Oryctolagus cuniculus: one gene and its partners. The protein of the gene in region 1 interacts with the protein of each later gene in a biochemical or structural test. Links are inferred from orthologs where the notes say so. Each region holds a gene or a part of one and is shown in the gene's direction. Other genes may lie near its edges. The genes, in order: LCK, MAPT, PTPN6, PTPN22 and PTPRC.

Region 1 (5,470 bases):
CAGGAGATGGCATTCAATCCAGGTCTTCTGTGTGAATGGCAGGAACCCAACTACTTGAGCCGTCACCTGCTGTCTCTCAGAATGTGTATGTGCAGGAAGCTAGAATTGGCAGTGGAGCCAGGGATTCAAACCCAGGCACTCCAGTATGGGGGATGCAGCTACCCCAAGTGGCCACACTTGACTGTTGTGTCAAATGCCTGTCCTAGATCACCCCTCCTGTTCCCATCTGTTAAGTGTGAGATCACTGTAGTGACTGGCCCATGCTGAGCTATTATTAATCATCACTTTGGGCCGTCACTTCACCTCTGTGAGCCTCAGTTTCCTGAAAAACAAGCGATTATTTGTAAAAAGCCTGGCTCATAGGAGGTGCTCACTGAACACTGACTTCCGTTTGCCTTCTAAAGAGGAAGAGAGATGTGTAAACAGCCAATCGCCCTCCCCTGAAATGCTTCCCCCCTCCCCACCTCCCTGCATTCAGCCTGGACAGAGATGGAAGGTTTTGAAAGGAATTGGCTTGGGAACTCTGAGGAAGGGAAATTGAACACACAAACAGGAGTAGGGAGGTCATGGAGCCCAGTGGCTGGATTTGCAGAGGCTTCGCACATCTCAGAGCAATGTGAACAGAACTTTGCTCCTAGGAAGGCTCTGTGGGGTCAGGTGAGAGGTTGAAGGACCGTGGCTTTGTCCCATCAGAGTCCGGAGGCAGTGCTGGAGCTAGAACCACACACCAGAGGTCCTGCCAAGGCCCCCTGCTGCTCCTCCATTGTTCCTGCAGAGTGAAAGCCCCGTGATCAAAGGCAACTGACACGTGGCACTAGGGTTTGGGAGAATGGGGAGACATGGGGACCTTAGTGAACTTGCATCTGCCCCAGCAGATGGCTGTCACTTATGGTAGGGGCATCTGAAAACCAGATCTTTTGTGTTTCCAAGAGAGACCAAAACTTGGAGTTTTAGGAAAAGCTACTCATTTCCAAATATTGGTAATTGACTCAAGTTGTTTAAAAACACCATATGGGCATTAGGCCTACCAGTTAAGCCTTTAGTTAGGACACCTATGCCCCACATGAGAGTGCCTGGGTTCAAGTCCCGCTCCAGTTCCTGACTCCAGCTTACTAACTGTGGACAATGGGAGCAGCAGTGATGTCTCAAGTGGATGGGTCCCTGCCATCCACTGGGAGACCTGGATTGAGTTCCTGGCTTCCAGCTTTGGCCTGGCCTAGCCCTGGCCATTGTGGGCATTTGAGGAAATGAACCAGCATATGGGGAGGCTGTTTGTGTCTCTCTGTCTCCCTGATCTTGCAAATGAAACAAACAAATGGAAAATCAACTACCTGGTCCAAAGCAAGCTGGGCCATCTTCAAGCTGGGTTTAGCTGATGGTTGGCATCATTGACTCTCGTGTTTGGTTTCCTGGCTTACGTCTTCTACTTCCTGGATTTTAAAATGTGAGGAATCCAGAGATAGGAGCCATCCAAGGGCAAGGGCTGGGGAAGAGGAGTCTGTATTGACAAAGGTCTAGCCCCAAGCTTAGCAGGAGCCAAACTTCAGTGTATGTATTTTGCTGGGACCCTATAAGGGTTTGGCCTTTGAGATCTGTTTGTCACAGTCTTCTCTCAGGAGAGTGAAGAAAATGCAAGAGGATACATGGATAATTTTAAGATAGGGAACCGGGGTGGGCGATGTGGCCTGTGTCCCATATTGGAGTGCCAGTTTGAGTCCCAGTGACTTCACTTCTGACACAGCTGATGGCTCAAGAGCTTGGACTGCTACCATCAATGTGGGAGACCCAAATAGAGTTCTGGGCTCCTGGCTTTGGCCTGGCACAGCTCTGGCTGTTGCAGGCATTTTTTAAAATTTTATTTATTTATTTTTAAAGCTTCTCTCTGTCCCAGGGACAGCACTTTCTTTCTTTTCCTTTTCTTTTCTTTCTTTCCTAATTTTTTAAGGATTTTCTTTATTATTTGAGAGGTAGAGTTACAGACAGAGAGAGGGAGAGACAGACCGAAAAGTCTTCAATCCACTGGTTCACTTCCCAAATGGCCACAATGGCTGGAGCTGGGCTGATCCAAAGCCAAGAGCAAGGAGCTTCTTCCAGGTCTTCCACATGGGTGCAGGGGTTCAAGCACTTGGACCATCTTCCACTGCTTCCCCAGGCCAGAGCAAGGCGCTGGATTGGAAGAGGAGCAGCTGGGACATGAAATGGTGCCCATTTGGGTTGCCAGCGCTTCAGGCAGAGGCTTAGGCTACCCTGCCACGGTGCCGGCCCCCTGTTGCAGGCGTTTGTGGAGTGAACAAGCAGATGGAAGATATCTCTTTGCCTCTGAACCTCTGCCTTTCAAGTAGATGAACATAAACAAACATTTAAAAAGAATGAAATGAAAACAAGGAATTACATCCTTGCAATCCTCCAGAGAAGTTCTCCTGAGACAAGAAGCCTGCCTGGGGGAACAAGACCAGCACAAAAGGAGGGAACCAACCCAAAGACTATTTGGTCTGGGTCATGGAGGGGCCTGGTGATCCTTCTCAGTCCCAGGCAGAGCCTGCTTCTCTGGGCCTGGGCCCTTCTGTCTTCCTGACTCACATTTCATGTGCCTGGTCCCAGAGTGGGAGAAACCTCACCACTCTCCTGGCTGTGGGCTCCCATCCTGCCCTGGGTCCTGACCTACCTGTCATCATCATAATCACAATTTCCCTTGGTGAAGCAGCGCCTAACTGGGCCTTCATACACACTACCTCGTTCAGCCATCATAATGACTCTGGGAGGGAGGAGCAGCAGCTTACTCTGTGTTCCAGATAAGGAAATTCAGGCCCAAAGACATGAGGTTGGCAGGAGATGTGGGGGGAGCACGTTGTGGCACAGTGGGTTAAGCTACTGCTTGGGATACCCACATCCCAAATCAGAGTCCCACTTTGAGTCCCAGCTCCTCTATATCCAATCCAGCTTCCTGCTAACGCACCTGGGAGGCATCAGATAATGGCCCAAGTACCCTGGGGAGAAGGATGGAGTTCCTAGCTCCTGGTTTTGGCCTGGCCCAGCCCTGAGTGTTGTGGGCATTTAGGAAGTGAACCAGCAGATGGAAGATCCCGCTCTCTGTTTCTCCCCCTCCCCTCCGCCTTTCAATTAAATAAACAAATCCCATTTTTTTATTTAAAAAAGAGGTAAGGTTGCTGTCCATGGACCCACAGCTAAAATGTGCGTGCTAATTGAGTGTTTGAGCTGTATTAGGTAGTCAGGTGGTGTGAATGACATCAGCAGGTGCTGCCAGCATGGCTTTACCATTGAAGAAGACCAAAATCCTTTTGAACTGGTGCTCGGACTCTGCCAGTTACAGGTTCTAAACATCACCCTTGGCTGTGGGCTTCGAAATTCTAAAGCCTTGATGTCCTTTCTCCCATCAACCTCCAGGGATGACTAATCCTGAAGTGATCCAGAACCTGGAGCGGGGCTACCGCATGGTGCGCCCTGAGAACTGCCCAGAGGAGCTGTACCACCTCATGAAGCTGTGCTGGAAAGAGCGCCCAGAGGACCGGCCCACCTTTGACTACCTGCGCAGCGTGCTGGAGGACTTCTTCACGGCCACAGAGGGCCAGTACCAGCCCCAGCCTTGAGAAGGCCCTTCCCCTTCATGCCAGCCTGGCTTGGGGAGATGGAGTTCTTGTGCCAAAACCACATGGCCTATGCATATATGGACTCTGCACATGAGTCCTGCCCACGTGCAACACATATGTATCTTGTGCTTGTACATACATCCCGAGTTGCATGGGTTTTGCACATGTGTCTTGTACATGTGTAGCCTATGCATGGATGCCTTCGACACTGTCCAAGGTGTGTCTTTCTAAGCACTCCTACTTCCTGATACCACAGAGACAGGAGAGAGTCTTGTGATTGACACCAGCTTCTGCCTGCCCACTTGTCTTTGCCCAAGCCCTCCAGAAGCTCCTTCAGGGTTAGGACCTTATCTAATACCTCTGTGTGCTCCTTGTCGGTGCCTGGCACCTGTTAGGGGCTCAATAAATGTCTGTTGATGAAGGTGATGCAACTCTCTGCTGTGCACTCCGTATCTCTTTCTTGGGGGGGGGGGTGGTAAATGGGAGGTCACATGATAGAAACTGGGTCACCCCAGGGTTGGGGTGTTGTGCAGTGTATTAAGCTGCTGCTTGGGACACCCACATCTGGGCTCCTCCATTTCCCTTCTAGCTTCCTGCTAATGCACCTGGAAGTCCTTAGATCCCTGCTACCCATGTAGAAGACCTGAATGGAGTTTCTGGCTCCTGACTGCAGCCTAGCCCAGCCTAGGCTATTGTAGGAGTTTGTGGAGTGAGCCAGTGGATGAAAGATCTCTTCTCTTTTTGTATCTCCCCCTCTCTCTCTGTCACTCTTTCAAATAGATAGATACATCTTTTTTTAAGATTTATTTATTTATTTATCTATTTGAAAGTCAGAGTTACACAGAAAAAGAAGGAGAGGCAGAGAGAGCTTCCATCCGCTGGTTCATGCCCCAGTTGGCTGTGATGGCCAGAACTGCGCCGATCTGAAGCCAGGAGCCAGGAGCGTCTTCTGGGTCTCCCATGCCGGTGCAGGGGCTCAAGGACTTGGGCCATCATCCACTGCTTTCCCAGGCCATAGCAGAGAGCTGGATCGAAAGAGGAGCAGCCGGGACTAGAACCGGCGCCCATATGGGATGCCAGCACTGCAGGCGGCAGCTTTACCCGCTACCCCACAGTGCAGGCCTGATAAATAAATCTTAAAGCAAACAAGACACCAAACTGGACACGCTGAGTCACGGTGACAGATGGAATGAGCAGATGTCCGAAAGTCTGCTGGCCCTGGTGATTGACGCTGGGGCCAAGAGGAGGTCCCTTTAGCTCTACCACCAGGACTCTGCATGCCCCTTCAAATACTACAGTGCTCCTCACTGCCTCCTGGGAGTGGGTGTGTCACATGACCCCACGATGTGAGGTCAATGGCATTTTTTTAATAGCTACTGATTCAAGGATTGTTTCTGACCTGGGATATATTTTGATTCACCTTCAAGATGTTATAAAATATTGAATTAATTCACTCATTTAACAAATTTTTTTTTTTTTTACTTTTTTGAGAGGCAAAGTGGACAGTGAGAGAGAGAGACAAAGAGAAAGGTCTTCCTTTGCCGTTGGTTCACCCTCCAATGGCTGCTGTGGCCCGCACATTGCGCTGATCTGAAACCAGGAGCCAGGTGCTTCTCCTGGTCTCCCATGTGGGTGCAGGGCCCAAGGACTTGGGCCATCCTCCACTGCACTCCTGGGCCATAGCAGAGAGCTAGCCTGGGAGAGGGGCAACCGGGACGGAATCCAGTACCGGGACTAGAACCCGGTGTGCTGGCGCCGCAAGGTGGAGGATTAGCCTACTGAGCCATGGCGCAGGCCTCATTTAACAAATGTTTATTGAACATTTATCATGTGCCAGGCATTGTTTGAGGCCCACAGGCTAT
Region 2 (6,247 bases), on another chromosome or scaffold:
AGCAAGGCTGCTCTTGCTTTGTGTCCCGTGTCACTGGTGAGCGCTGGACGTCATGGCCGCCCCTGGCTGCGAGGGAGGCAGGCACGGCAAGCGTTTTGCTTTTCAACCTCTTTGGTAGAGGAATTCCAGGGAGAAGGGAGGGCCGTGGGAATGGGCTCTGAGTACTCCGTCCACGGTGTCTGTCCGTCCCCCTCTCCACGCTCCCTGTGGGGCGCAGGGTCCCGGCTCAGCGCCCCTCCAGGCCCCAGCCTCCCCACAAGCGCCCGCCACCTGTGGGTTAATCCAGACAGTGGCTGTCACATGCCTGCAGGTGGCTTGGTGTGTCCCTGGAAGGTGTGGCAGGTGTGGCACCCCCTCCCCGAGTGCAGGCCAAATGCCCCTGCTCTCCTTAGGGGCTGTGAGCCCACTGTTCCCTGCTTGTCCATTAGGACGGTTTTGCCGGGTCACCTGCCGTGCGGGCATCCTGCCCGGAGGGTCGCCCAGCCGCCTCTTGCTGCTCTCTGGACCCCAGGGCAGCCCCGGGAGCGGGCGGGCGCTGACCGGCGGTGACCTCTCCCACCTCCGCAGCTGGCGAGTCCTAGTGTGGGCCAGGGATGAGTGCCCACTGCCGAGTGTTTGGACGAGAGGCCACGGCAAGGCCTGGTTGGGCTCTCTCCATCCCGCCTCCCCCGGGAGCTCTGGGTCAGGGCCTTAGAGCTGAACGGTTCGTGGAGGTCGCCCGCAAGGGGCGCTGTCACTTTGCAGATGTGGAAACTGAGGCCCAGAGAGGCCAAAAGGCCCGCTCACGGCCTCCCAGTAAAACCACAGGCCCCACCCGCGCCTTGCACCGCCTGGTCCCAGTCCTGCCTTCCTGCACGGCTTGAAAGCAGGGACAGCTGCGGGCGACCCCCGGGACCTCGGGGCCCCTCCGCCGGCTCTGCCCGCCCGCGCGCGGCCGTGGGCTGGTGCTTTCCCCGCATGCGGACGGGGCCTGCTGCCCGCGCGCGCTGCCCCTGCTGCCCCTGCACGAGCCCCCGGCGCCGCCCTAAGCCGCTCTCGGTGGTTTCCAGACGTGACAGCGCCCCTAGTGGATGAGCGAGCCCCTGGCGAGCAGGCCGCCGCCCAGCCCGACGCGGACATCCCCGAAGGAACCACAGGTGAGGGCGGTCCCCAGCGCCACCCGCCTGGGGCCCCCGGCTGCAACCCCCAGAAGGGTTCCTGCGGTGTCAGGGACGCGTCCCCAACGGTGCTCCCCGCAGCCACTGGGGAGGCCCACGGCCCCTGCTGTCACCCCCGCGGAGCCACCTCTGCTCTTCCAGTTCACGCACCAGGAGGTGTTCCCGGGCGGGGTGCGGGGGAGGGCGCTCTCCAAGGGCATCTGACGGCTGTGGAGGAGCCCGGTTCTGTCTCCCGCCGTCCTGCACGGCTGTTGGTGGGACGTTGGTCCCTGCCTGGGATGCAGGTCCTGGCGGAGTCTGGAGCCCACCGTTGCCCCAGGTCATCCCAAAGCCTCTGTAGTCCCAGAGCTGGGCCGGCGGAACACAACTTCCACACACGCCCTGCAGCTGTTTCAAGGCCACTCTCTTGTGTGGACTTTGTCTGATTCTTCTAGATTCTTGCCCCACCCATCCTGGCCTCCATCCACAGAGCCCTCGCTCTGCACTGTCCTCGCCGCAGAGCCGGCTGTGGATACCACTGGAGGGGCCCACACGCCCCCTCTCACCGGCTCTCACATCAGGTCCGCAGGGGACACACACAAGCCACATTCACCCATCCCACAGGGGACACAGCCTGGTGTCTGCAGGTGCCACCTGCTTGGACCAGCACCCCAGCCACCCCCTACTCCACACCCCTCTCTCCAGTGAATCTCCCCCAGAGCTGCTCCCGACCCCGCGTCCTCAGTGGGGTGGGGTGGGAGCCTGCGTACTGGGGTCAGCTCTCAGCCACAGTGGCGGCAGATCCCGTCCCGTCGGTGGTGCCCCCGTTGGGTCAGTGCGGCTGCCCGTGCGGCAGGCCTGCCTCGCTGGACAGCGGGGAGTGGCCCTCAGCCGTGCGCTGCCCAGCCGGAGCCGACCTTCCGCCTCCCTTCCTGTCTCCGAGCGCCCCTCACCGGGGCAGCAGCTTTCAATTGCAGGCCAGGCTGTGGCTCTTCCATGAAGGTGGGTTAGCTCTCCCCACCTCTTGGCAGGGACACAGGAATGCCACCATTTAGCTGGCCTTGCTGTCACCCCGCACCTCTCTCCTGTTCCTGTAACCTTGTTGGAAACTTGGTCCACACCCGCCAGGCACTGTGCTCTTGGGCACTTGGCCCAGCTTCTTCTTGGTGCTATTCTCAGATGCCCAGGCTGTCGCTGTCACCTTGTAGGCAGCACGGTGTTGGCTGCAGGGACCCCCAGGCAGGTCTTGCCCATGAGCCCACCCGCACCATGGCAGCCCCGGGACAGCCGCCAGGCTGGGCGTCCGTGCGGTCACTGTGTAGCTGTCTCGTGACTCAAAGACCCTTGCTTGTGCGTCATGCGTGCTCTCCGCCGAGGTGGTGGCCTGGCGCCTGTGTTTTAGCAGAGGTGGGGTCGTGGCAGGTGTGGGGGCCCAGCTGGCTGCCCCCCCACCACCACCACCTGCTGCAGCCACGGCCTCTCTCTCCCTGGACCCGCCACCTTCCCGGCACTCTGCGGGCCGGGCAGCAAAGCGTTCCTCTAACTGCGTGCATCCTGTGCGTCCTGGTGCAGTGAGGCCCGGACTGCAGGGAAGGCGCAGTCACCCGTCAGGTGCGCGGGTGTCATGGCTCGTGTCCGGTGAACCCTTGTCCCCGCCGTCCCCTGTGGTAACGTCTGCAGAGGAACCCAGGCTCGTAGGGCGCGCCCTCCCCGCGCGCTTTAGAAGTGTGCCGGAGGCCCGGGGCCTGCTGAGTGCAGTCAGTAACTCTCTCTGCTTTCGTCTCCTCACTTGCCGACGCGGGCACCAGCTGAAGAAGCCGGCGTGGGAGACACCCCCAACCTGGAAGACCAAGCTGCGGGACATGTGACTCAAGGTCAGTGTGCCACAGTCAAGGTCAGTGCGCCACAGGTGCCGGCGCAGCCGGGGGCTGGGAGCAGGGCAGAGGGAGCACTGGGGGGTAGGGAGGAGTCTGCTCGTTCCAAGGTGTTCAGTGTCCTGCGGGAAGCTGGCCCTGCCCGGGCAGGGAGCTGAGAAGGAGTGGCCGCGGTGAGGCGAGTGTGAGTGCCCACAGGTCTGTCCCCGAGCAGCACCTCCTCCGCGTGGTCACTGCCCAGGCCTGGTCCTGTGCGGCCTCCAGACCATCATCCGGGTCTCTTCTGTGTTCCAGAAAAGCGGGTTTTCTGTAACCATTTGTCACAGGCATTTCCAGACCTTTGGAAGTCTGAGAGCCTCCCGGGTTTAGGACATGGAGAGGTCAGAAAGAGATGGCCCTTGGGCTGGGTCTGTTCCCTGTCACCTGCCGGGCAGATGACCTTGGCCATCTCGCGGACAGTGTGGAAGCTTCCGGTGGCAGCGGAGCTGGGAAGACGCTGCTTACTCCGGAGAGTGCTAGGGATGTGCCGGCGTGCCCGGCGTGGAGGCCGCTCCTGGGCTATCTGGCTGTAGGAGGCGCTGCACCCACAGAGGGGTCCCAGGGGGTATGTTGAGGCTCAGTCTCCACCCCTGCTCCCAGAGGGGTCACTGCCCTCTGTGGGCTCATGGTTCTCTCGGCTGACATGTGAAGGCAGAGTGCTTTAAAAACGTTCTTAGGGTGTGAGTCCCTCAGGGGTCCCCGTCTGTGTGAGATTCTAGAATCCCGACTCCCGCTTCCTTGAGGTCGGGTTTTGAGCTTCGGTGAAAGTGGAGACCTCGTAAATATAACCTCTAGAAGTGGTCGCCTGTGCCCGGGTCTTAAAGAAGGGGAAGCGTTTTTCCCACAGATCTTTATTTATTGGAAAGGCAGAGAGACAGAGACAAAACACAGACGGACAGAGACCTTCTAATTGCTGGTCCACTCCCCCGGCCCCTGTGACAGCTGGGCTTGTGCCAGCCCACAGCCAGGAGGACTCAGGTCAGCCCGGGAGCTGGGCCTGGGGCAAGGGCAGAGGTGAAGCCGAGCTGAGGCGGCCTCCCCGCGGTGCCTGTGGCCCAACCGACTCCCGCGGGGTCCCCATGTCGCCCGTGTGTCCACGGCTGCGCCCGAGTGTTCTCCCACCTCTCCCTCATGTCTGAGCCCCTCCCTGCAAGTGCCTGAATCCTCTGGGGTCCAGGTCTGGCCTAGAGGCGAGCTGGGCAGGAGGACGGGTAGTCTCTTGGTAGCAGGTGAGATTCTGAGAGCTGGAGGCAGGAGAAATGCAGGTGGCTCAGTAGGGAAACTGAACCGCACAGGTCGCCTGTCCCTAACACACAGGTGGCGCTTGTTTGCGTGAGAAAGCTGGAGCCGGCTAGGTGGGCGTGCCGCGATGGTTTGGCCGGTCAGACCTGGCCCGGGATCTGCCCCACGCCGGGCCGTGCCAGCCTCGCGAGTGTGCTCCTGTTGGAAGGAATCCAACCGTGGCCAGTCCATTAATGGCCATCTTTGATCCTCACGCAGCTTGGAGCATCCAGTCTCCCAGAGCAGGCTCCGGGCATGGTGGGCAGCAGTGAGAGAGAGAGGGTGGAGAAGGGACCCGCCAGGTCCATGCAGGCGCCTCGGGGGACGCAGGTGCTCTGGGCTGGGGAGCAGCTCCTCTGGTGCCAGGGCACGGGGCACAGGGCAGCTCCAGAGATGGTGACGTCCCTGTGCCCAGCACAGGAGTGATGCCCATGCCGGAAGGGGCCTGGGAGGTCCCCAGGGCCGAGGTGAGGAACTGAGGCCCCGCAGAGGGGCAGTGCTCACGCAGTCACACAGGAAGTTGGTGGCAGGTGGACCCCTCATTGGTGCTGGCCTTTCAAGCACACAAGACCCCTGGATAAGCCCAGGGAGGGGCTCCTGCTTTGTTAGGCTGCGCTGTTTAAAACGCCCTTTCCCACGTCGCAGTCGGGTCCCCTCTCTTAAACACTGCACATGCCCTCGCTAACCTTGGACCACTGCTGCCTCTTCAAATCCAGAGGCGCTGAGAGTTGCCAGCTGGCAGAGGGCAGCACCTGGGCAGCCTGTGGGCCAGAAGCAGCCAGAAGCCTCGGCTGAGTTGGTCACACCCCTTCCTGAGCAGCATCCCGTCTTCCCAGAACCTCCTCCACCAGGAGGCCCTCAGGAGCTCCGCCAAGAGTGGGGACCAACACATGGGGACCTGGCCAAGGAGGGCCTGGCCTTTCCGAAGCCTGTGTCCCCCGGATCTCTGCAGAAGGGGCCTGAGATCATCAAGGCCCAGGAAAGCCTGGGCAGGGAGCTGGGGCTCCAAGGAGGCCAGGCCTCGGACCCAGGGCCCCCCAGCCTGATCTGCCAGGACGTGCCTGCCCTGTCTGGGACTCCCCTTCTGCCTGAAGGGCCCAGAGAGGCCGCACACCAGCCCCCAGGGCCAGGACCCGTGGCTGCCGAGGGAAGCCCTGAGCTGCTGGCGTGCCCGGAGGGGCACCAGGGCAAAGAGAGGCCTGGCGGCCCGGAAGAGGTGGATGAGGACCAGGACATCGATGAGTCCTCCCCGCAGGAGTCACCCCCCTCCCAGGTGTCTCCAGGCCGAGGTGGGCCACCCCCCGGGACCCCGGGGCTCCCCGCCGGCGGTGCCGTGCCACTCCCTGTCGACTTCCTCTCCAAAGTTGCCACAGAGACCCAGGCCTGGGTGCCCGTGGGGTGCAGCCCGGCCCCCCCGGGGCTGCTGGCAGCAGAGCCCGAGGCGCCCCCTGAGCTCCCCCTGCATGGGGAGATCACAGCCTGTGTGCAGCACCAGGAGCAGGAGCTGGCACACTCCAAGCCGGATTTGGAAGGGACTGCACTGCCGGGGGGCCCTGGAGAGAAGCAAGAGGCCCAGGGCCCCTCTTTGGGACGGGACACACAAGAGGCTGGTCTTCCGGAACCGTCTAGAAAGCACCCCGCAGCTGGTCTGCCCGGGAGGCCCGTCAGCCGGGTCCCGCAGCTCAAAGGTCTGTGTCTTGAGCACCCTTGCTCCCTCCCCGGTGCCTCCTGTGGCTGCCCAGGCTGTGGGCACTGCCCCCGAGCGCCGATGTCGGCCGGCCCGAGGCTCTTGGTAGCACGCGCTGCTCTCACGCTTGCCCGCCCATCTGCATGTCACCGACCCCATCTGGCGCTTTCTGCCCTCTCCCATTCTCTGGCCACTCGACTGACCCAGCACGGCCCCGCTGCCCGTGACAG
Region 3 (6,247 bases), on another chromosome or scaffold:
CCCCAGGAGTTGGGCTCCCAGGCTCTGGGATAGGGTAAAGGCCTGGAGACCAAAAGTAGAAAAGACCCACATTTGACAGGGTCATCGTGTCCATCCCTCTGCCATCGAAGGCCTAGGAAGGGAGGGCGCGCTTCCCCCCTTCAAGCATCTCGGCACCCCACAGCAGCCCCTTGGGTCAAGCAGCTGCGCAGCCTCTGTTCTTTGAAGCCCCAGGGCTGGTGTGCAGTGGTTGCCATTCCTGGTTTGGGACGCAGCCAGTCTGGGTTTCAGTCCCGGCACTGGCACTTGACTAATTGGATGACCTTGGGCCAATCCTTCCACTCCCACAGCCCCGGTTCCCAGTTGGCAAAGTGGGGTCGCAGCAGGCGCCTGTGTCCTAGAGCTGCTGGGAGCGCACGCAAAGCCCAGTGAGGCCCCATGAACGAACAGCGTATTAGCGTGGGCCAGGGAGCGGATGGAGGAAGAGGAGACCATGGCAGGTTCCCAGGCAGGAAGCAGAATTCTTTGCCATGAGGTGTCCCAGGCGTGCGTGGGCCCCCTATTCATGAGCTGTCCCATCTGCCGCAGTGCCATGCCCCTGAGCCTTAGATGGCGGCCGTGTGGGAAGTGGGCCCTGCCCCCATCCCATGTCACCCCGCTCTTCTCTTGCTCTATGCTAAAAGGAGAAGTCAAGTGAGTTCCCCCAAGGGGTCGGCCGCGCCCCTTCCTGTCCCCGCCCTGCTGGCTGCGCCAGGCCAGTGCAGCGGCAGCCCCAGCCCCGGCACCGCACCGTGGGGTGGGTGGTGAGGCGGCCGGGCGCTTGGAGCCCAGTTTGAGCCTTAGCTCCAGAGTGCTCCGCCGGCCTGTGTGAGGCTGCCCTCCTTCCTTCCCTGCTGCCCCTTGCTTTCCGGAAGCCCCCAGGATGGTGAGGTAAGCGCTGGGAGCTGCGGTCAGAGGGTGGGAGATGGGGGTGCTCTGGGGCGGCCGAGGGACCTCTCCTCACCACCCTGCCCGGCCTTCCAGGTGGTTCCACCGGGACCTCAGTGGGCTGGACGCAGAGACCCTGCTCAAGGGCCGAGGCGTCCATGGCAGCTTCCTGGCTCGGCCCAGTCGCAAGAACCAGGGAGACTTCTCCCTGTCTGTCAGGTAGGTGGTCCCAGCGACGCTGCACTGGCCTAGGCCCCTGGAGCCCTCATTCCCTGCTCCCCTGGCCCCGTGCCTCTGCTGTGTCCTTGTCCCACCCCCACCCCGTCCCCCACACCTGCGCAGGCCCCCTCCCCATGGGTTCCCCGGGGGGCCAGACGCCTGGCCTCACGGCTGGTGCCCTGCAGGGTCGGGGACCAGGTGACCCACATTCGGATCCAGAACTCTGGGGATTTCTACGACCTGTATGGAGGGGAGAAGTTCGCCACGCTGACGGAGCTGGTGGAGTACTACACACAGCAGCAGGGCGTGCTGCAGGACCGTGACGGCACCATCATCCACCTCAAGTACCCGCTCAACTGCTCCGACCCCACTAGCGAGAGGTGAGGGCCCTGCAGCCGGCCCCTTTGGCCCGCCCCGGCTCAGGCCTCTGGGCTCCGCTTCTCCCTCTTATGCTGCAGCCTTGCCCTTCACCGGGGTCCTCCTGGTGGCAGGAAGCCGCCCCTCGTGGCGGCCGAGCCCATTGTTAGAAAGCTTCCCTTCTGTGGAACTGAATCTGCCTGCTTATGACCCGGGCCCCTACAGGCGAGCTGTGTGAGCTGGGCTCCGGGCAACCCAGTGAGAGGGGGTCTAGCCCATGGGGTCCCCACAGAGGTAATGGGAAGCAGGTGGTATGGGGTCCTGGAAGGACAGGGCCCTGCACTGTGCTCAAGGCCGACCCCCAGAACAGGGCTGGCTCCTCCCCAGAGCGTGAACCTCACCCAAGGGCCCCAGGGGCTCACCCTGGCCCTATCTCCAAGACAGAGCCTGCTGTGGGCTGCCTAGGGTTGTTTTTTTTTTTTTTTTTTTTTTTTTTTTCATCCTGACTCCTGTTGAAATGCTTCTGCACCTTGCCCCTGTCAGTTTTCAGTCCTTCTGAGATTCATGCCACCAAACCTGTGTCAGTATTTTGGCCCAAGTGACTGGTTCAAACCTAGCAGTGGACAGGGCCGGGGTGGACACGAAGCCCTGGAGAGTGGCTTCCTGGAGGGACGCCTCAGCAGGGCCGCCTGCTCCCTTGGCCTCTCCCTCCCCACCCACAGCTTGCCCCTGTGGTTCCTTCTGCCCCTTTCTCCTCACCTCAAGCCTGGATGGCCCTGCTGGAGGAGACCTTAGGGCTGCCGTGGGTTGTGGATGGCGCTGGAGAGGGGAGCTGAGCAGCCCCTGGGGAGAGGGCTGGGGGCCTGGGTTCACCGGGCGTGGGAGAAGCAGGAGGGGAGGGAAGGCAGTGCTGAGGTGGGGACCCTCTTGGGTCACCCAAGCTGAGAGGCCTGGGTCTCACCCCTGACCCCAGGAACCTGCGAGAGGCCCTGTCTGCAGGCTTCTGAAACCTCTGCCCCCTCTTTGGCCAAGGCCTCCTCTTCCGGCATTTGCATTTGTCCCCTGGATGGCTGTGTCCCTGTCTGTGGTCAGCCTCACATTTGCATGGAGACTTCCTCATCCTGGGGCCCAGGGAAGGGGGCTCGCCCCCTCCCCATTGCCTGGGGGCCCTGGGCTGCCCCTGGGTGGTGGTAGGGAGGGGTGGCTTGGGGGCTCATGGGCGGGGTGGGGGACTCTAGGGGGCCTCTGAGCTGGAGTCTTCCCCAGGGAGGGGGTGGGGGGAAGAGGGGACATGCTGGGGACAGGCCGGCCCCTCCCTCCTTCCCCCATCCCTGCGGTTGGAAAATGCCCCCCTTCCCCTGGTGCCGGCTGAGGAAACCTCACTTCTCACTCTCTCCCCAGAAGGAGTTGGTGTTTTTTCCATCACGTGGTTTCCTGTGGGGCTGGGCATCGCGGGGCTATGGTTTCCTCCTGGGAAGGGGGTATACTTCGGGGAAAGGTCTTAGTTCTGTTTTCTGCCCCCTTGCGTCCCTGTGAACCCCGACCTCCCTTTTGGTGACATCATGCTGAGCACCCAGAGCCCCCTAAACCACTGTGTCCCTAGTGGGGCTGTGTCCCCCGCTCCCTGCCCGGTCTCCCCCCTGAGTTCCCCCACTCAGTCTGCATGTCTTTGTCTCTGCTGCCTTTCCCTAGCCCAGACCCCTCCTCCGGAGACTCACCCCTGGTTTCTCCACGGAGCCCCAGTAGTGCCTGCCTCTCCTCTGTCTTGAGTTCTCAGATGGGCTCTGGGTCCAAAGCCTGGCTAGAACTCTTGAGGCTGCCTCTTACCAGTCAGAGGTCTTGGGCCGGTGTGCGGCTGCTCAGCCTCAGTTTCTGCACCTGTCAAGTGGGATCCCAGCACATTTCTGTGAGAGAGCAATGGATCTCAATCCTCAATGTGGTGGACTTGCAAGCATCCAGCTCAGTGCCTGGCACGTCGTGGGCAGTCTGTGAATGCCTCTGCCTGCCCGGGGCCTTTTCCCCGTGACCTGGGTCTCATCTGCCCTGATGCTGCTTCCCTCTAGATGGTACCACGGCCACATGTCTGGAGGGCAGGCAGAGACGCTGCTGCAGGCCAAGGGCGAGCCCTGGACGTTTCTGGTGCGTGAGAGTCTCAGCCAGCCTGGAGATTTTGTGCTGTCGGTGCTCAGCGACCAGCTCAAGAGTGGCCCTGGCTCCCCGCTCAGGGTCACCCACATCAAGGTCATGTGCGAGGTAGGCAGCTGGGCGGGGGCGGGGGGGGGGGGGGCTTGTGTGAGTTCCTGTCCGTGCCCGCAGCGTGGGCGGCGGGGCGGGTCTGCTGGGGCTCAGGTCCGAGGCTTCGGGTCCAGGGATGGCCTTGCTCGGCACCCTCAGGGTGGACGCTACACGGTGGGCGGTCCCGACACCTTTGACAGCCTCACGGACCTGGTGGAGCATTTCAAGAAGACGGGGATTGAGGAGGCCTCTGGTGCCTTCGTCTATCTGCGGCAGGTAAGCACATGGGCCCGGCTGCCTGCTGCCTGCCCCTGAGCCCTCGCGCCTGCGCATGAGCTTCTGAGACCTCCGAGTGGCTGACATATCGCCTTCCCTGACCCCAGCCATACTACGCCACGCGGGTGAACGCAGCCGACATTGAGAGCCGGGTCTTGGAGCTGAACAAGAAGAAGGAGTCGGAGGACTCGGCCAAAGCTGGCTTTTGGGAGGAGTTTGAGGTGCGCGCTGGGCCTCTGCAGGGCTGGGACGGCCGAGGCCTTCGGCGGCCAGCGTGTGGGGTCCCGGGTGGCCACCTTCCTGGCCCCAGGTCTTGTCTGCCCGTGGGTGCCCTCGTAGGGGGGCTGCTCAAGCTCCTCTCTCCCCTTGCAGAGCCTGCAGAAGCAGGAGGTAAAGAACTTGCACCAGCGGCTGGAAGGGCAGCGGCCAGAGAACAAGAGCAAGAACCGCTACAAGAACATTCTCCCTTGTGAGCACCCAGACAGCCCCGCCCCGCTGCGCAGGGTCTACACCCTCCCATTCCCTCCAGGAAGCCACCCCTGCCTCCAAAAGCCCCGACTCCTCCCAGTGGAACCCCCACCCCCACCCTGTGCCCGCAGCCAACAGGCAGTTGCCGCCTGCTCTCACCAAACTCCTCCTTCTCAATCCTCTACCCCACCGCCCCACACAGATCCCCTGCAGCCCACTGTGAGCCTCATGGCTTTTGAGACCAGAATGCCTGACCTGTTAGCGTAGGCAGGGTCTGACCAGGCCGCCTTGCTTCCCCTCTGCCCACTCCCAGTTGACCACAGCCGAGTGATCCTACAGGGCAGGGACAGTAACATCCCTGGGTCCGACTACATCAATGCCAACTATGTCAAGGTCAGTGTGGCAGGTCCCATGGGAAGCCCTGGGGACACAGAGACCCTCGGGTGGAAGAGGGTGGCCGTGGTCGAGGCCTGTCCCAGGCTGCTGAGAGGCTCATGGTCCTGGGGCTGTCTTCTCTGCTTGCATCCAGAACCAGCTGCTAGGCCCCGATGAGAACACTAAGACCTATATCGCCAGCCAGGGCTGCCTGGAGGCCACGGTCAATGACTTCTGGCAGATGGCCTGGCAGGAGAACACCCGTGTCATCGTCATGACCACCCGCGAGGTGGAGAAAGGCCGGGTAAGGCTGAGGCCCCATTGTTCACCACCGAAACAAAGAAACTGAAGATGCCAGGGCAGAAAGGGACCTTAGGGGGTGAGGGTTTAACCCCTGCTGGGAGGAGGGGTGGCAACGCTGTGACGCAGTAGGTTAACCCTCCGCCTGTGGTGCTGGCATCCTATATGGGTGCTGGTTCTAGTCCTGGCTGCTCCTCTTCTGATCCAGCTCTCTGCCATGGCCTGGGTAAGCAGTGGAAGATGGCCCACGCAGGTGCAGGGGCCCAAGGACTTGGGCCATCTTCTACTGCTTTCCCAGGCCATAGCAGAGAGCTGTATTGGAAGTAGAGCAGCCAGGACTAGAACTGGTACCCATATAGGCTGCCGGCACTGCAGGTGGGGCTCAGCTATGCCACAGCGCCAGCCCCAAGCCCCATGTTTTAAACTGTCCTTCCCCTTACCGTGTTTGGAAGCAAAGCTTACTGCTGCCCATTCCCCATGTGTCCCCCTGCAGGCCCCTCTTGTTCTGTCTCATAAATGGCTCTGGAGCCCACCCCTTACTCTCTGGGCTCGCCCTTCCATGGCACCTCCTGTCCTGCAGCCAAAGTGACCCTGCCCAAAGCACACAAACTTGACCCCATGGCTTCCTCTCTGGAAACCCTCTAGTGGCTCCCAGCTGCCCTCCACCTGAGTTTTCAGTGTAAGGCTGGCACCCGTGGCACCCACCATCTCCCGTGGGTCAGGCTCTTCAGGCTTCTGTGGCTTTGCCCAAACTCATTTTATTCTCTCCCCATACTGTCTCTGTCTTGTCTTTCTTTCTTTCTTTCTTTCTTTCTTTCTTTCTTTCTTTCTTTCTTTCTTTCTTTCTTTCTTTCTTTCTTTCTTTCTTTCTTTCTTATTTACTCATTAGGGTCGGTGCTGTGGCCTAGTGGGTAAAGCTGCCGCTTGAGGTGCCGGCATCCCATGTGGGGGCCGGTTTGAGTCTGGCTGCTCCACTTCTAGTCTGGCTCTCTGCTATGGCCTGGGAGAGCAGTAGAGGATGGCCTGAGTCCTTGGGCTCCTACACCCACGTGGGAGACATGGAGGAAGCTCTTGGCTCCTGGCTTTGGGTCAGTGTAGCTCTGGCCGTTGT
Region 4 (6,878 bases), about 84 Mb from region 1:
GCCAGAAAAAGCAGTGGAAGATAGCCCAAGTGTTTGTGGCCATCTGGGAGTGAACCAGTGGATGGAAGATTTCTCTCTCTCTGTGTAACTCTGACTTTCAAAAAATAAATTTTTTTAAAAATAAAATTTTCCTATATTTCATGTGTTTTAGAATAATCAAATGAAACATTTAATCATTTAAAGCAGCAAGAAATTCTCTAAAGCTACATGGTGATAATTTGAGAAATATTGTCCTGTTCCCTCCAAAAACGTTGCTGAAGAATTATGGTTTATTTTAATTTGCATAGGCTGGAATTGAAATTACTTTCTTGGAATATTGACTCCAAATTGCCTATAGTCCGAATACCTCACTGACCTTCTCTTCTTGTTGTGGAGCTCAATGAAAAGGATGCAGGCCCCTTAGGGCTTGGAATAGCCTTCAGACACAGGATTTCCTGAAAGGAGTTGGATAATGTTGCAAAGCAGAAAAGACTGCTGATATTTTAGATACAATACATTTCCCTCTTTTCTTCAATATTATTTCAGATTCATTTTATTAACATCTTTTTTTAAGATTTATTTATTTATTTGAAAGTCATAGTTACACAGAAAGAGGAGAGACAGAAAGAGAGAAAGAGAGAGAGGGAGAGAGAGAGAGGTCCTTCATCTGCTGGTTCACTCCCTAGTTGGCTGCAATGTTTGGAACTATGCCAATCCAAAGCCAGGAGCTGGGAGCTCCATCTAGATCGACCACACGAGTGCAGGGGCCCAAAGACTTGGGCCATCTTCCACTGCTTTCCCAGGCCATAGCTGAGAGCTGGATCAGAAGTAGAGCAGCTGAGACTTGAACTGGCGCCCATATGGGATGCCGGCATCGCAGGCGGCAGCTCCACTAGCTACGCCATAGCGCCGGCGCCATTAACATCTTATGTCTTGGGGCTGGTGCTATGGCTTAGTAAGTTAAGCCTCTGCCTGCAGTGCCAGCATCCCATATGGGTGCCACTTTGAGTCCCAGCTGCTCCACTTGCCATCCGGCTCTCTGCTATGGCCTGGGAGAGCAGTGGAGGATGGCCCAAATGCTTGGGCTCCTGCACCCACGTGGGAGACCTGGAAGAAGCTCCTGGCTGCTGGCTTCAGATCCACCAGCTGCAGCTGTAGCAGCCATTGGGGGAGTGAACCAGCAGATGGAAGACCTCTCTCTGTGTCTCTCCCTCTCTCTAACTCTGCTTCTCAAATAAACAAGTAAATAAATCTTTTTTAAAAAATTTATACTTCTTGAACTTCTGCCCTCGGGCAAACATGATATTCCAGTTTTGCATGTTTGTTTGTTTGTTTTAAAGATTTACTTATTTTACCTGAAAGTCACAGTTACACAGAGAGATAGGGAGAGGCAGAGAGAGAGAGAGAGAGAGAGAGAGACAGAGAGAGAAGTCTTCCATCTGCTGGTTCACTCCCCAGATGGCCACAATGGCTGGAGCTGCACCAATCTGAAGCCAGGAGCCAGGAGCTTCTTCCGGGTCTCCCACGTGGGTGCAGGGGCCCAAGGATGTGGGCCATTTTCTGCTGCTTTCCCAGGCCATAGCAGAGAGCTGGATCAGAAGTGCAGCAGCCAGGTCACAAACCGGCGCCCATATGGGATGCCAACACTGCAGGTGGCAGCTTTACCTGCTACGCCACAGCGCCGGCCCTGGGTTTGGGTGTTCTCACCCTGACCTGGACACGAGTGGGGTTGTCTGCATTGATGAGGGAGCTCGCGCAGACAGAACTACATAGGCCTTTTCCACAGCAGCCTGCTTGTCGGCCGAAACACCGCATGCCCACTGTAGCTTTTCCAAGACAGTGGCTGCAAAGTGCAAGTGTCTTCAGGTTTTCTGCCCTAAAGGCTACACTGTTGTCAGGAGGTGGCTGTGGCTGACTGTCCTCTCTTTTTTTCCTTTACAGTTTGCCAGCTGCCTTTGGTTCATCCAAAAAGAGAATCTGAGTTCCATAGGGCAGATGAAAAGGTTCTGGATAGAAACGTCTTCTCTAATGAACACGTGGCCACTGCTCACGGTGATGAGAGACCCTGGGGGTGCAGTCCCCACTCCACCCAGCGCCTGTCTCCTCTTCCCGGCCCAAGCGAACTTGGAGTTTTTTCGCGGCCATGAGGAAGCAAGGTGTCACCGAGCCCTGGAGAGCCGGGAGAGGCAGCCCTCCTGGATGAGAGCCGCCATTCTGCCTTCGGGAAGCAAGCCCAGGGGTGAATGTTGCTTCATCCAGGATGATGGCGCCGAGGCCTCATGAGAGCCCCCATTTGACGTTCCGCTCAGCTTCTGTTTTGTGAAAAACTTGAACGGCACCCGGGGTTCGTTTGTGGAGAAGGAAGGCGCTAGGGCCCCCGGGAGTGCGAAGTCGGCGTGGTTCTGTGACCACAGAGGCCGGTTGCGTACTAATTTCCTCCAGAGCTTGCGATGCAGTCAGTAAAACCACAGCCTGCAGCACGCTCGGCTCGGCGGCAGCAGCGGCGGCGTGCCGGGAAGGGGGTCTCGGCCATGACACACATCTGACATGCCCTCCCCCAGGCCCCTCGGAGACGGTTTCTCTCGCTCTGCAGCATGGACCAGAGAGAAGCTCTGCAGAAGTTCCTGCACGAGGCCCAAAGCAAGAAAATCCACAAAGAGGAATTGGCCGATGAGTTTCTGGTGAGTGCCGTGTGTGCGGCTCTCGGGGCTCGGCACACACTCTTTGCTGGAGTAGGTCTCTCCAACTCCACTAGACCAGCCTGCATGGGACAGAGGGTCAGGTCTAAAGGGGACGAAGGAAACTTAGAATAGAAGGTTGACTTTCCTGAGTGGTGTGTGTGTGTGTGTGTGTGTGTGTGTGTGTTAGGGATTTTCTCAAAACTACTGGCTTTGATATTTTCTGGTTAGCTGTTCGGTTTGACCAAGAATCCTACAGAAGACATATAAAACTGTAGATGTATAAATGCTCTTGTTACAGCACTCTGTGAATTCCCCAGGACCTGCCTTGTGCTGTATGCTTCAACTTGCTGATTCTAATTAAGACTCAGAGGAGACAGACTGAGATGAACTTCAAGGAACAACACGTTTTTTGAGTCTCCCCAGGGGATTCTGTTTGGATGACACAGGGTTTTGAAGAGCATCGAAACTACCCACTGTCACGTTGCCTTTTTTCTTTTCCCTACTAAATAATAATAATAATAATAATAGTAATATCAGAGCACGTGGTTTTGCAACAGGCTTTCCCTAACTTTTTCTGGTTGGAGAGGTGGAACCGGCAGGGTGGAGAGGATAAGACAGCAGAGGACATGGAGAGAAGACAGATGGCTTCGGGTCAGGAGACTTTGAGTGGCAGCCGGGTAGGCCCCATTCACCCCATACTCTGGCACGTCAGGCAACACAGGGTGCCTGATATCCCATGTATTTTGGAATACTTCCGTCTGGTGTTTTAGAGGCATAAGAAATGTAAACCTGAACTCTTCAGCTATGAAGAAGTGGAAGACTCAGGAGAAGTGAAATGTAAAACCTGGAATTAAATCGTAATTCTGTCACCAAACAGATTATTCCCTATTTGGCATGTTCTCTAATCTCCCTAGAAGTTTCTGGTTTCTGGCTTCCAGGATGAAGAGAATACTATGTGTCTTAGCTATCCTTGCAGGTGATTAAATATCAATATCAATAGTAACAGTAATGGCAACAGTTAAATGTGCTTATCGCTCAGTTGTATTTTTGGAGCACCTACTATGTACCAAGTCCAATTCTAGGCATTGGGGATACGGTATAAGATGATACAGAATAAGATGAACAGACCTTCGCCCTCATGGAGCTGCCATTCTAGGACTAAGGAGCAGAAGTAAAATCACTCTGTGATGTCTCAAGCAACTAGAACTTATACATGAGTGTCATCATCATGTAGGAAACCCCTCTGCCAGCTCAGCTTGGATAATAACATGGCCTCATGAAAAATGTGCTCTCAGTGCCGCTGGCCAGGCGGGCCGAGACCCTCTGGGTAGATTTGCCAGAGAAGAAAGGAGGAGGCCAGAGAAGAAAGGAGGAGGCAGGCCTGGCCCATGTCAGGTGCCTGCCCTTGGACCGGAATTCCTGGGCTAAATTCATCCAAGGCATAAAAACAGACAGTGGGCCCTGTCTTGTTTGGGTTGTGTTATTAGTAGTAGTGTATCGCACCCCTAACAGTTTACCTTTTCTTACTTCTGGTCATTGTACTCGTTCACCAGATTCTAGCAGCCAACTCTTAACAGATTTTCCTGCCTCCAGATTTGCCCCACTGGGGTCTGCTATCTGCTCCACACCCAATGATCTTTCAGTAATACAAGTCTGGTCCTTCTTTCCCCTACTTAAAAATCTTTCTCTTTCTCTTTCTCTCACTCTCTCTCTCTCTCTCAAAATTTATGTATTTACTTTAAAGTCAGAGTTACACAGAGAAAGGAGAGGCAGAGACAGAGAGAGGTCTTCCATCCACTGGTTCACTTCCCATTGGCTGCAACGGCCTGAGCTGTGCCTACAGGAAGCAAGGAGCCAGGAGCTTCTTCCGGGTCTCCCACGCGTGTGCAGGGGCCCAAGGACGTGGGCCATCTTCTACTGCTTTCCCAGGCCACAGCAGAGAGCTGGATCAGAACTGGGATGCCAGCACTGCAGGCAGCAGCTTTATCTGCTATGCCACAGTGCCGGTCCCTTAAAAAACTCTTTATTGTTTGTGGTTTTTTTTTTTTTTTTTTTTTTTTTTTTTTTAAGCCACTTAAAGTTGTGAGATCTAACACACTTTTAGAAAAGCACATAAATCATGTGAGTATAATTGCAAAACAGCCATCAGCACAGCTGGCACTCAGGTCAAGGGCCTGCAAAAGTTTGTGGAAAAAAAATTAAACAGTAAGTTTGCTTTGAGGCAAAAAAAAAAAAAAAAAAAAAAAAGTTGCAGGGGCCGGTGCTGTAGCACATTAGGTTAATTCTCTTTCTGCAGCACCAGTATCCCATATGGGTGGCAGTTCAAGTCCTGGTTGCTCCTCTTCCAATCCAGCTCTCTGCTGTGGCCTGGGATAGCAGTAGAAGATGGTCCAAGTCCTTGGACCCCTGCATCCATGTGGGAGGAAGCTAAAGAAGCTCCTTGCTCCTGGCTTTGGATTGACTCAGCTCTGGCCATTGCAGCCATTTGGGGAGTGAACCAGTAGTTGGAAGACCTTTCTCTCTGTCTCTCCCTCTCACTGCTTGTAACTCTACCTCTCAAATAAAGAAATAAATAAAAATTACATAGAAGAACACTGTCAGATCCCAGAAATCCAGGGTAAATCCCTTCCCCATCCCCCACTCCTGCTCCACCCTGTCCTGTTCTTCCCCAGGGATATTCACCATGCTGACTTCTAGATTAATCACTTCCTTGCTTTTCTAGCTCCTGATGTTAAGGCCCTTGTTTTAGGAAGATGATTAAGTGGAATCTCACTGTTCACTGACTCATGTCCTCCAATGGAAAAGAGTCTTGCCCTCCCTCAGCCCCACCTAACGGTTCAGCTGAGACACCAGAGGGCTAGATTTGGGGGAACAGAGGGGTGGTAGACAGGGCCAAATGGTGTGCTGGGGCAAGGTGGACACAGCCATGTGAGGGCTTTCTACCTCGTCACGTCCATAGCCTACCTAAGCTCTTTTTTTTTTTTTTTTTTTTTTTTTGACAGGCAGAGTGGACAGTGAGAGAGAGAGACAGAGAGAAAGGTCTTCCTTTGCCGTTGGTTCACCCTCCAATGGCCGCCGGGGCTGGCGCACCGCGCTGATCTGAATGCAGGAGCCAGGTGCTTCTCCTGGTCTCCCATGGGGTGCAGGGCCCAAGTACTTGGGCCATCCTCCACTGCACTCCCCGGGCCACAGCAGAGAGCTGGCCTGGAAGAGGGGCAACCGGGACAGAATCCGGCACCCTGACTGGGACTAGAACCTGGTATGCTGGCGCCACAAGGCGGAGGATTAGCCTAGTGAGCTGCGGCGCCGGCCCCTACCTAAGCTCTTAAGATATTTTCCCAGGGTTTGATGTTCCTGAGGCTGGAGGACTGATTCCATGACCCAAAGGCCAATGGCTGGCCTAGATGGTGGTGCCTTGGTGTGAATCATCAAAAGGCATCTTGTGTGCACTTTAAGGTGCATTTTTTGTTTGCTGTCACTGCCAGAATAAATATGCCACATCACATTCTCAATCTCTCTCTCTCTCTCTCTCTCTCTATATATATATATATATGCCACTCAAATAAACACAACAAATAAATAAATTTGAAAGAGAGAGAGGGTTCCGATGTGTTGGTTCACTCTCTAAAGGCCTGCAATGGCCAGGGCTTGACCTGGGGCAGAACTGGGAGCCCAGGGTCTGCATTAGCAGGAAGCTGAAGTCAGGAGCAGAGCCAGGAATCGAACCCAGGTCCTCCGATATGGGATGCAAATGTCAACCCTTAGGCTAAGTGCCTACTCCAACAGCCCAACTTTGATTTCTTTTTCCCATCCACCATGGAAGGACCAAGTTTTCTTTTTCTCTCTCGAAAATGCAAATTCGTATTATGTCTTCTGTAAAGTAACATAGTCCTTCCTCGCAAAGATATTGTGGTTTAGCACTTTCTTTTCCTTTTCTGTTCTCTTTGCACAATGGCCTTAACTCATTTGCTAGTTAAAAGAATTTATGTGGCCGGCACTGTTGCGTAGCTGATTTAGCTGCCACCTGCAGTGCCAGCATCTCATATGGGTACTGGTTCAAGTCCCGGCTGCTCCACTTCTTTTCTTTCTTTTTTATTTTTTTAAGATTTATTTTATTTATTTGAAAGGCAGTGCCTTTCCCAGGATACAGCAGAGAGCTGGATCAGAAGAGGAGCAGCCGGGACTTGAACTGGCACCCATATGGAATGCTAGCACCTC
Region 5 (5,928 bases), on another chromosome or scaffold:
TAAATCTGATGAAATGTTTTTAGAAGAATTTTTGAAAAAGTCCTGTTATTGTTTGTATTATATAAATATTATAATTCAGTCATTAGACATATTACTTCTTGCATTTGTTTGGATTTCCAAAGGTGAAACTGATGTGGAAAGAAAGCTGAATAATGGAATTTAGGCTCTCAATCTTATGTTTCATAGGATATGGTTGAATACCTGCTGGCTGTTCCCTGCTTATACACAATGAAGCATGCTGCAGATGACATATTATTTAAATTAAAGCTTTATTGTGTTTTACACTTTAGTTTAGTAAGTCATTGCTTGTCCTTGTTTTAATGAATAGATCTGTTGGGTATCACTTTTCTCCTGATGTGGAAGAGAAACATTTTTAAAAGTGGTTAAGAGGCATAGACAAATGAATTAGAAGAAGCCTGCCATCTAGTAATTTACAAACATAAAGTCTAATACTTCTGGTCCCATCAGTAACTAGCTATTCCTCTATCCTCGCTAAATCTTAGTTCTCTAATCTATCAAATTGGCGGTACGATATTGAGCCTAACTATTTCAGATGTCAATAAGAGTGCACTAAAATCCATAAAGCACTAAATAGAAGAGTTGCAAAGTATTTTCCAAGCTACAGGATTGTCACAGTCTTGGATTGAAAAGGTGTTGCCCCAAGACAGCATTTAACAGCTATAACTCAGAGACTGGAATAAAATAATTAGAATAACCTTGACATAAATATGCATTCATCCCCTGTCTTTTACTTGCTGTTCTAATATTACTCTATTAAAAGTAGAATTGCTTTTTTTCTCTTTTGCTTTTCCTTCTTATAGAGATGGATCTCAACAAACAGGAATATTTTGTGCTTTGTTGAATCTCATGGAAAGTGCAGAAACAGAAGAGGTAGTAGATGTTTTCCAAGTAGTGAAATCTCTGCGCAAGGCTAGGTCAGGAATGGTTTCCACATATGTGAGTATACCTTGCCTTTTCTTTTTAACATGCGTAGTATCTTTAATTTGAGGGTCTTCTCCTCTCCATCCCCTTCCCCACCCCTCCCTCTCCTCTCCTTCTCTTTTTGGTTCTTCTTTTCTCCCTTCTATTTTACATAATAATTCACATTGGATTATTTTCACTATAAGGGACCAACTTGAATTTTGCCAGCAATTTGATGTTACAATTCATGAAGAATGTTTCCTTAAATCCTGATGGATTTGCCTTAATTTCTCCACGTTTAATCCTGTGTAAATTTGTGTCACTGCTTAACAAATGACCTCCAAAATGTGGCGGCTTAAACAAGTGACATTACTTCCTGGGTCAGTAGTTTGTTGTTCTGCTGGGTTGCTGACCTGACTCCTTGGGCTTAGCCAATCAAGACAGACTGTCTCAATCAGCTGCGTCCAGGGAGTGGACCGCTGTTGTCTGCTGGTCTGACTCCAGTGCCACGCAGGCTGGCAGTTGGATGCGGTAACAAGGTGAGTGGACCACGTGTCCCTCTTCATCCAGAAGATGAGCCCACATAAAAGTAACAGTGTTCCAAGGAGGAGCTCGGACCCGCCCTTGTCTCTTGAGACTCAGGCTTGGCGATGAGACAGCGTGTCTTCTTCTACCTTTTATTAAACCCAGCAAATCGCAAGGCCAGTTCAGATTCAAGGGCTGGGAAAACAGACTCCACCTCCTGTCTCCAGGGCCTGGGGTCACACTGAAAAGAGAAATGGACACAGGGAGGATAATGCATTGGTAGAATCAGTCTATCTTTGCGTCCTTTCTGGGTGGTGGCAACTCTAAGCCATCATCTGGGAATTATGAAGATTTCAATCATGAACGATATTGAGTGTCTGTAGACAGATTTTAAAATACATTGAATGTCTACTATGTGCTCTTGGCATGAGGGCACTCACTAGTGCGGGGGAGAGCCAGATATTTGTTAAACAATGTAATGAGTAAAGTGCCAGAGAAATTTTAAGAAGGTGAATGAGGACATTTTATTTAACCGGGAGAAACAGGATGGGCTTCTTGCAACAGGTGGTTCTTAAATTATGTGTAGACATTGACCTAGAGGATGAGCACAAAAATGGCACCATGGGCAAAAACCTGGGACTGAGATAGATGTCATTCTGTGTGCTGAGGGAGTGACACCAGTTTGGTGTTGCTGTAAGGCACATTTTGAAAGGTCCCCTGCTGTTGATCTTTTAGAACGGTAAGGAAATTAATCCATCTGGAATGTTCCTTATGAGAAGGTATCACAGTACTTCTCCATCACCCTGGGCTTCCACAGTAAATGATTTGTTCTTGCTCATTTTTATCTGACACAACAGAATCAAGTCAACTTTCTTCATGTAATTTTTGGCTGCTTTCTTTACTAGGAGCAATATCAATTCCTGTATGACATTATTGCCAGCAACTACCCTGCCCAGAATGGACAAGTAAAGAAAAGCAACAATCAAGATGATAAAATCCAATTTGATAATGAGGTGGACCAGGCAAAGCAGGATGTGAATTGTGTTAGTTCACGAGGTGCCCCAGATACGACCCATGAAGGAAACAAAGAGGCTGAAAGTCCTGAGCCCACGAGTGGCCCTGAGGAACCAGAACATTCTGCCAATGGCCCTGCAAGCCCTGCCTTAACTCAGAATGCATAAGGAAGAGACATAGATGGAGCCACTCAAAACCTCCTATAAGATGTGATTCTATTTTCCTAGAAGTAGGAGAGGGAAATAGGTACACAGTGGAATAGTGAAGTACATTGGACTGATGTGTGCAGGAAGCTTGCTTTACTACCGTTCAAAAATATTTAAGATAGTTTTTGCTAAGATGTTTTGTACAGTTTTATGCTTACTTTTAAATTTTATCTGTCATTCAGCAAAACCATTTCTATGTAGTCTATGTGTGTGTGTGTGTGTATGTGTGATAGAGAGAGAGAGAGAGAGAGAGAGAGAAAGAGAAGCAGAAAGAGTGAGAGAAACTTTCAAGTGAATCCAAGTGCTTTTGAGAAACTTTGCCTTTCTTTTTTCTTGAAGAAAAAACACATATATAAAGTGTTAACTTAGCTTGAAGGATTTATTTTTTAAAATCAGAAATTGCAAGTGCACTCAGTGTAAGAATAACAACATGTACATTTCTGGAATGACCTCAAGATGTCCTCCTTGTTCAATTCATATATACTGTAATGTTTACCATCATACTTCCAGAAAGAGTGCACTAAAGTGCTATGTGTGAATATGGCTACTATGAAAAATTAAGTAAGGTAACATTTGGAAATCTTATGCTCCATATGTTAGCTTTGAGTTCAATAACTTTTTAAGTATATTTAATCTAATTTAAAAACTCAATTGACCTATCTTGCTATCATCTCCTGGTGTCTACAACCCTCCACAAGGATTATTCTCTGTACAAATATGAAATTCATTGCTTGATTCTTTTGATGAAAAATTATATTTGATACATAAGTTTGAACTTAAATAAATATCTTTAAAATAAATACATGCACTATATGCTGGAATTCATAGGATAAAAATAAAAGCATGAAAACATATTTGTGCCAAGTATTTTGCATATTAAGCCTAATATAGGTATTTTTATGGAATTCAACATTGATGTGAGAAATATAATATTGCATATGTGTATTTCTCATGTTAAAGTTGTCCTTGTCTTTGTTAGAATGCATTTACTTCAAATTTTTCAAATGCTTAGACTACTTTACCAGGAATTAATATCAATTATCGTAGTAAAATCAATTATCTTTTCTTGTTTATGGTATACAAGGTATGTTACATGTTATTATGTGAAATAGTGTATTCCTGTTAAAATATAAGTTTAGTGCAATTAATGATATTTGCAGAATAATTTTGCAGGTCCAATTTTATTTTAAAAGATTTGTTTATTTGAAAGAAAGAGTTACAGAGATCAGGAGAGAGAAATGAGAGATCTTCCATCTACTGTTTCACTCATCATTTGGTTGCCACTACTGGGGCTGGGCCAGGCCAAAGCCAGGAGCCAGGAGCTTCATCAGGGTCTCCCACGTGCTCAGCACTTGGACCATCTTCCACAGCTTTCCTGGGTGCACTAGCAGGGAGCTGGATCTGAAGTGGAACAGCTGGAACTCAAACCGGTGCTTAACCCTCTGTGCCACGATGCTGGCCCTCCAGTTTTCTGAAAGACCCAAAATCTAATCATTGTTTAGGATCTTGGCGGGGGGTGGGGGAGACACCCAAGAAAGAACAGTGATAATTTCCAAGAAGTAATAAAAGTGACTCCTTTTGGTGAATTCTGTGTCAGCTTATTAAGTTGGTGACCTAACATTCTCTAGGTTGGTCTTTTTTTTTTTTTTTTTTAATCTCTTCGGCGTTCTTGCTGATTTTAAATGTCTTCACTATACAGCACCGATTGCTGTATGTAGGACTCATATTTTGTGTTCCTGCTTCTAATGCTTTTATTACTATAAAATACAATTGGCAATTAATCCTTAGGATAGTCTGTGGTTCCTTGCCTTTATTTAATAGATTAAACGAAGTGAATTTTCAGTGAAGCAACACCTTCTTATTTATATTAAGGTTACTTACTATGTACTTATTAATGAGAAGGGGGAATGAGAGTTGTCCAAAAATGGGCATCAGAACTCAAATGCGTCTTGCTTTCTGTTCTTTTTTTTTTTAAGATTACCTTTTGTTTTAAATTTCTTTTTAGATTTATTTATTTATTTGAAAGGCAGTTACAGAGAGGCAGAGGAAGAGAGCGAGAGAGTGAGAGAGCGAGAGAGAGAGAGGTCTTCCATCCACTGGTTCACTCCCCAGATGGCCACAACTGCCAGAGCCAGGAGCCCAGAGCCTCAGCCAGGTCTTCCTCGTGAGCCATCTTCCACCCCTTTCCCTGGCCATTAGCAGAGAGCCAGAAGGGAAATGGAGCAGCCAGGACTTGAACCGGCGCCCAATGGGATGCCGGCACTGCAGGCAGCGACTTAACCCGCGACACCACAGAGCCGGCCCCTTGCTTTCAATTCTGAAAGTCACTCAAACCTCTGTGCCTCATTTTCTCCTATTGAAACTTGATCTGCTGTCACGGATAGATGGCATCGCTATAATGTGCAGTTCCAATATTCAGTAGACACATATGATGGGTGTCTATTTTATCTGTGAATTGCTACAAAACACAAATAACAAACTTCTAGATTTTAAATAATCTATACTTTTTTTCAGAGGTTTCTAAATGTGGGTGTTGTGTGTTTTAAATGTGCATTAGCCATTTGAGACCACACTTTTACAGATGCAAGATCAATAGAGCCCCCAGAATTTCTATCCCTTTAGGGAGCAAGCAGAAAACATTCATTTTTCTTCTGCAAATGGAAGGCTGTGGAAAAGGGAGCATGGAAATGTGGAATTACATGTCTATGACTTTTATCATTAAAAAATTAAATAATATGTGAATTGGGTTGCATTCATAGGGAATCTGTCCCAAGATAGAAAGGATTTCTTTGCTAAGTTTACGCACTGCAACACCAAGTCAGAAAAATTCAGCAAAAAATTCCAACTTTAAAAATCCTGGCACATATTGAGGATAAAGTTCTGCATCCCATTTCAAAAAGTTCGCAGAAAATGAAATTAAAAGATTTGTTTCTGTGCAATTTTTTTTAAAAATCCATACATGGTTTTTTTTCATACTATGCATTTCCACAAACTTTTAAAAACCTCTTCATATGTTTACTGGGCAGAACAAGAATGCTAGGTTTCTGTGAAGTTTTGTTCCTTCCTAATACTAGAATTTATTGAGACTAAAAGACGTATTTGACAATCTGGTCTGTATTTCTGTGGAACTGTGGTCTCTCTATTTTTGCTTGAGCATTATGATTAGTCAGCATTAAGGCTGTAATTATACAGGTAATTATCTTATTGGCAAAATTAAAGGAAAAAAGGAAGGAATGAGGGGGTGTTGAAGAAGGTTAAGAAG

What was found.
Region 2: the proteins of LCK (region 1) and MAPT form a complex in vitro, tested with the Homo sapiens proteins (2 studies listed by BioGRID, with this or other methods). The link is inferred for Oryctolagus cuniculus from reciprocal best matches to the Homo sapiens genes LCK and MAPT.
Region 3: of the proteins of LCK (region 1) and PTPN6, one has a biochemical effect on the other in vitro, tested with the Homo sapiens proteins (4 studies listed by BioGRID and IntAct, with this or other methods). The link is inferred for Oryctolagus cuniculus from reciprocal best matches to the Homo sapiens genes LCK and PTPN6.
Region 4: of the proteins of LCK (region 1) and PTPN22, one has a biochemical effect on the other in vitro, tested with the Homo sapiens proteins (3 studies listed by IntAct, with this or other methods). The link is inferred for Oryctolagus cuniculus from reciprocal best matches to the Homo sapiens genes LCK and PTPN22.
Region 5: of the proteins of LCK (region 1) and PTPRC, one has a biochemical effect on the other in vitro, tested with the Homo sapiens proteins (5 studies listed by BioGRID and IntAct, with this or other methods). The link is inferred for Oryctolagus cuniculus from reciprocal best matches to the Homo sapiens genes LCK and PTPRC.

What each region holds. Positions count from the first base shown.
Region 1 is NC_091438.1:140,189,053-140,194,522, reverse strand, and holds the end of LCK (tyrosine-protein kinase Lck), read left to right. Parts: intron 1-3,405; coding exon 3,406-3,608; 3' UTR 3,609-4,039; downstream 4,040-5,470. UniProt on the Homo sapiens protein: Non-receptor tyrosine-protein kinase that plays an essential role in the selection and maturation of developing T-cells in the thymus and in the function of mature T-cells. Plays a key role in T-cell antigen receptor (TCR)-linked signal transduction pathways.
Region 2 is NC_091448.1:17,253,019-17,259,265, reverse strand, and holds part of MAPT (microtubule-associated protein tau), read left to right. Parts: intron 1-1,049; coding exon 1,050-1,136; intron 1,137-2,944; coding exon 2,945-3,010; intron 3,011-5,046; coding exon 5,047-6,018; intron 6,019-6,247. UniProt on the Homo sapiens protein: Promotes microtubule assembly and stability, and might be involved in the establishment and maintenance of neuronal polarity.
Region 3 is NC_091440.1:102,586,285-102,592,531, reverse strand, and holds part of PTPN6 (tyrosine-protein phosphatase non-receptor type 6), read left to right. Parts: intron 1-731; exon of another isoform or gene 732-901; coding exon of another isoform or gene 902-909; intron 910-1,002; coding exon 1,003-1,125; intron 1,126-1,310; coding exon 1,311-1,505; intron 1,506-3,545; coding exon 3,546-3,735; intron 3,736-3,876; coding exon 3,877-3,993; intron 3,994-4,100; coding exon 4,101-4,214; intron 4,215-4,365; coding exon 4,366-4,462; intron 4,463-4,774; coding exon 4,775-4,854; intron 4,855-4,990; coding exon 4,991-5,140; intron 5,141-6,247. UniProt on the Homo sapiens protein: Tyrosine phosphatase enzyme that plays important roles in controlling immune signaling pathways and fundamental physiological processes such as hematopoiesis.
Region 4 is NC_091438.1:56,506,994-56,513,871, forward strand, and holds the start of PTPN22 (tyrosine-protein phosphatase non-receptor type 22), read left to right. Parts: upstream 1-2,429; 5' UTR 2,430-2,573; coding exon 2,574-2,660; intron 2,661-6,878. UniProt on the Homo sapiens protein: Acts as a negative regulator of T-cell receptor (TCR) signaling by direct dephosphorylation of the Src family kinases LCK and FYN, ITAMs of the TCRz/CD3 complex, as well as ZAP70, VAV, VCP and other key signaling molecules.
Region 5 is NC_091444.1:14,986,325-14,992,252, forward strand, and holds the end of PTPRC (receptor-type tyrosine-protein phosphatase C), read left to right. Parts: intron 1-821; coding exon 822-957; intron 958-2,351; coding exon 2,352-2,627; 3' UTR 2,628-4,252; downstream 4,253-5,928. UniProt on the Homo sapiens protein: Protein tyrosine-protein phosphatase required for T-cell activation through the antigen receptor. Acts as a positive regulator of T-cell coactivation upon binding to DPP4.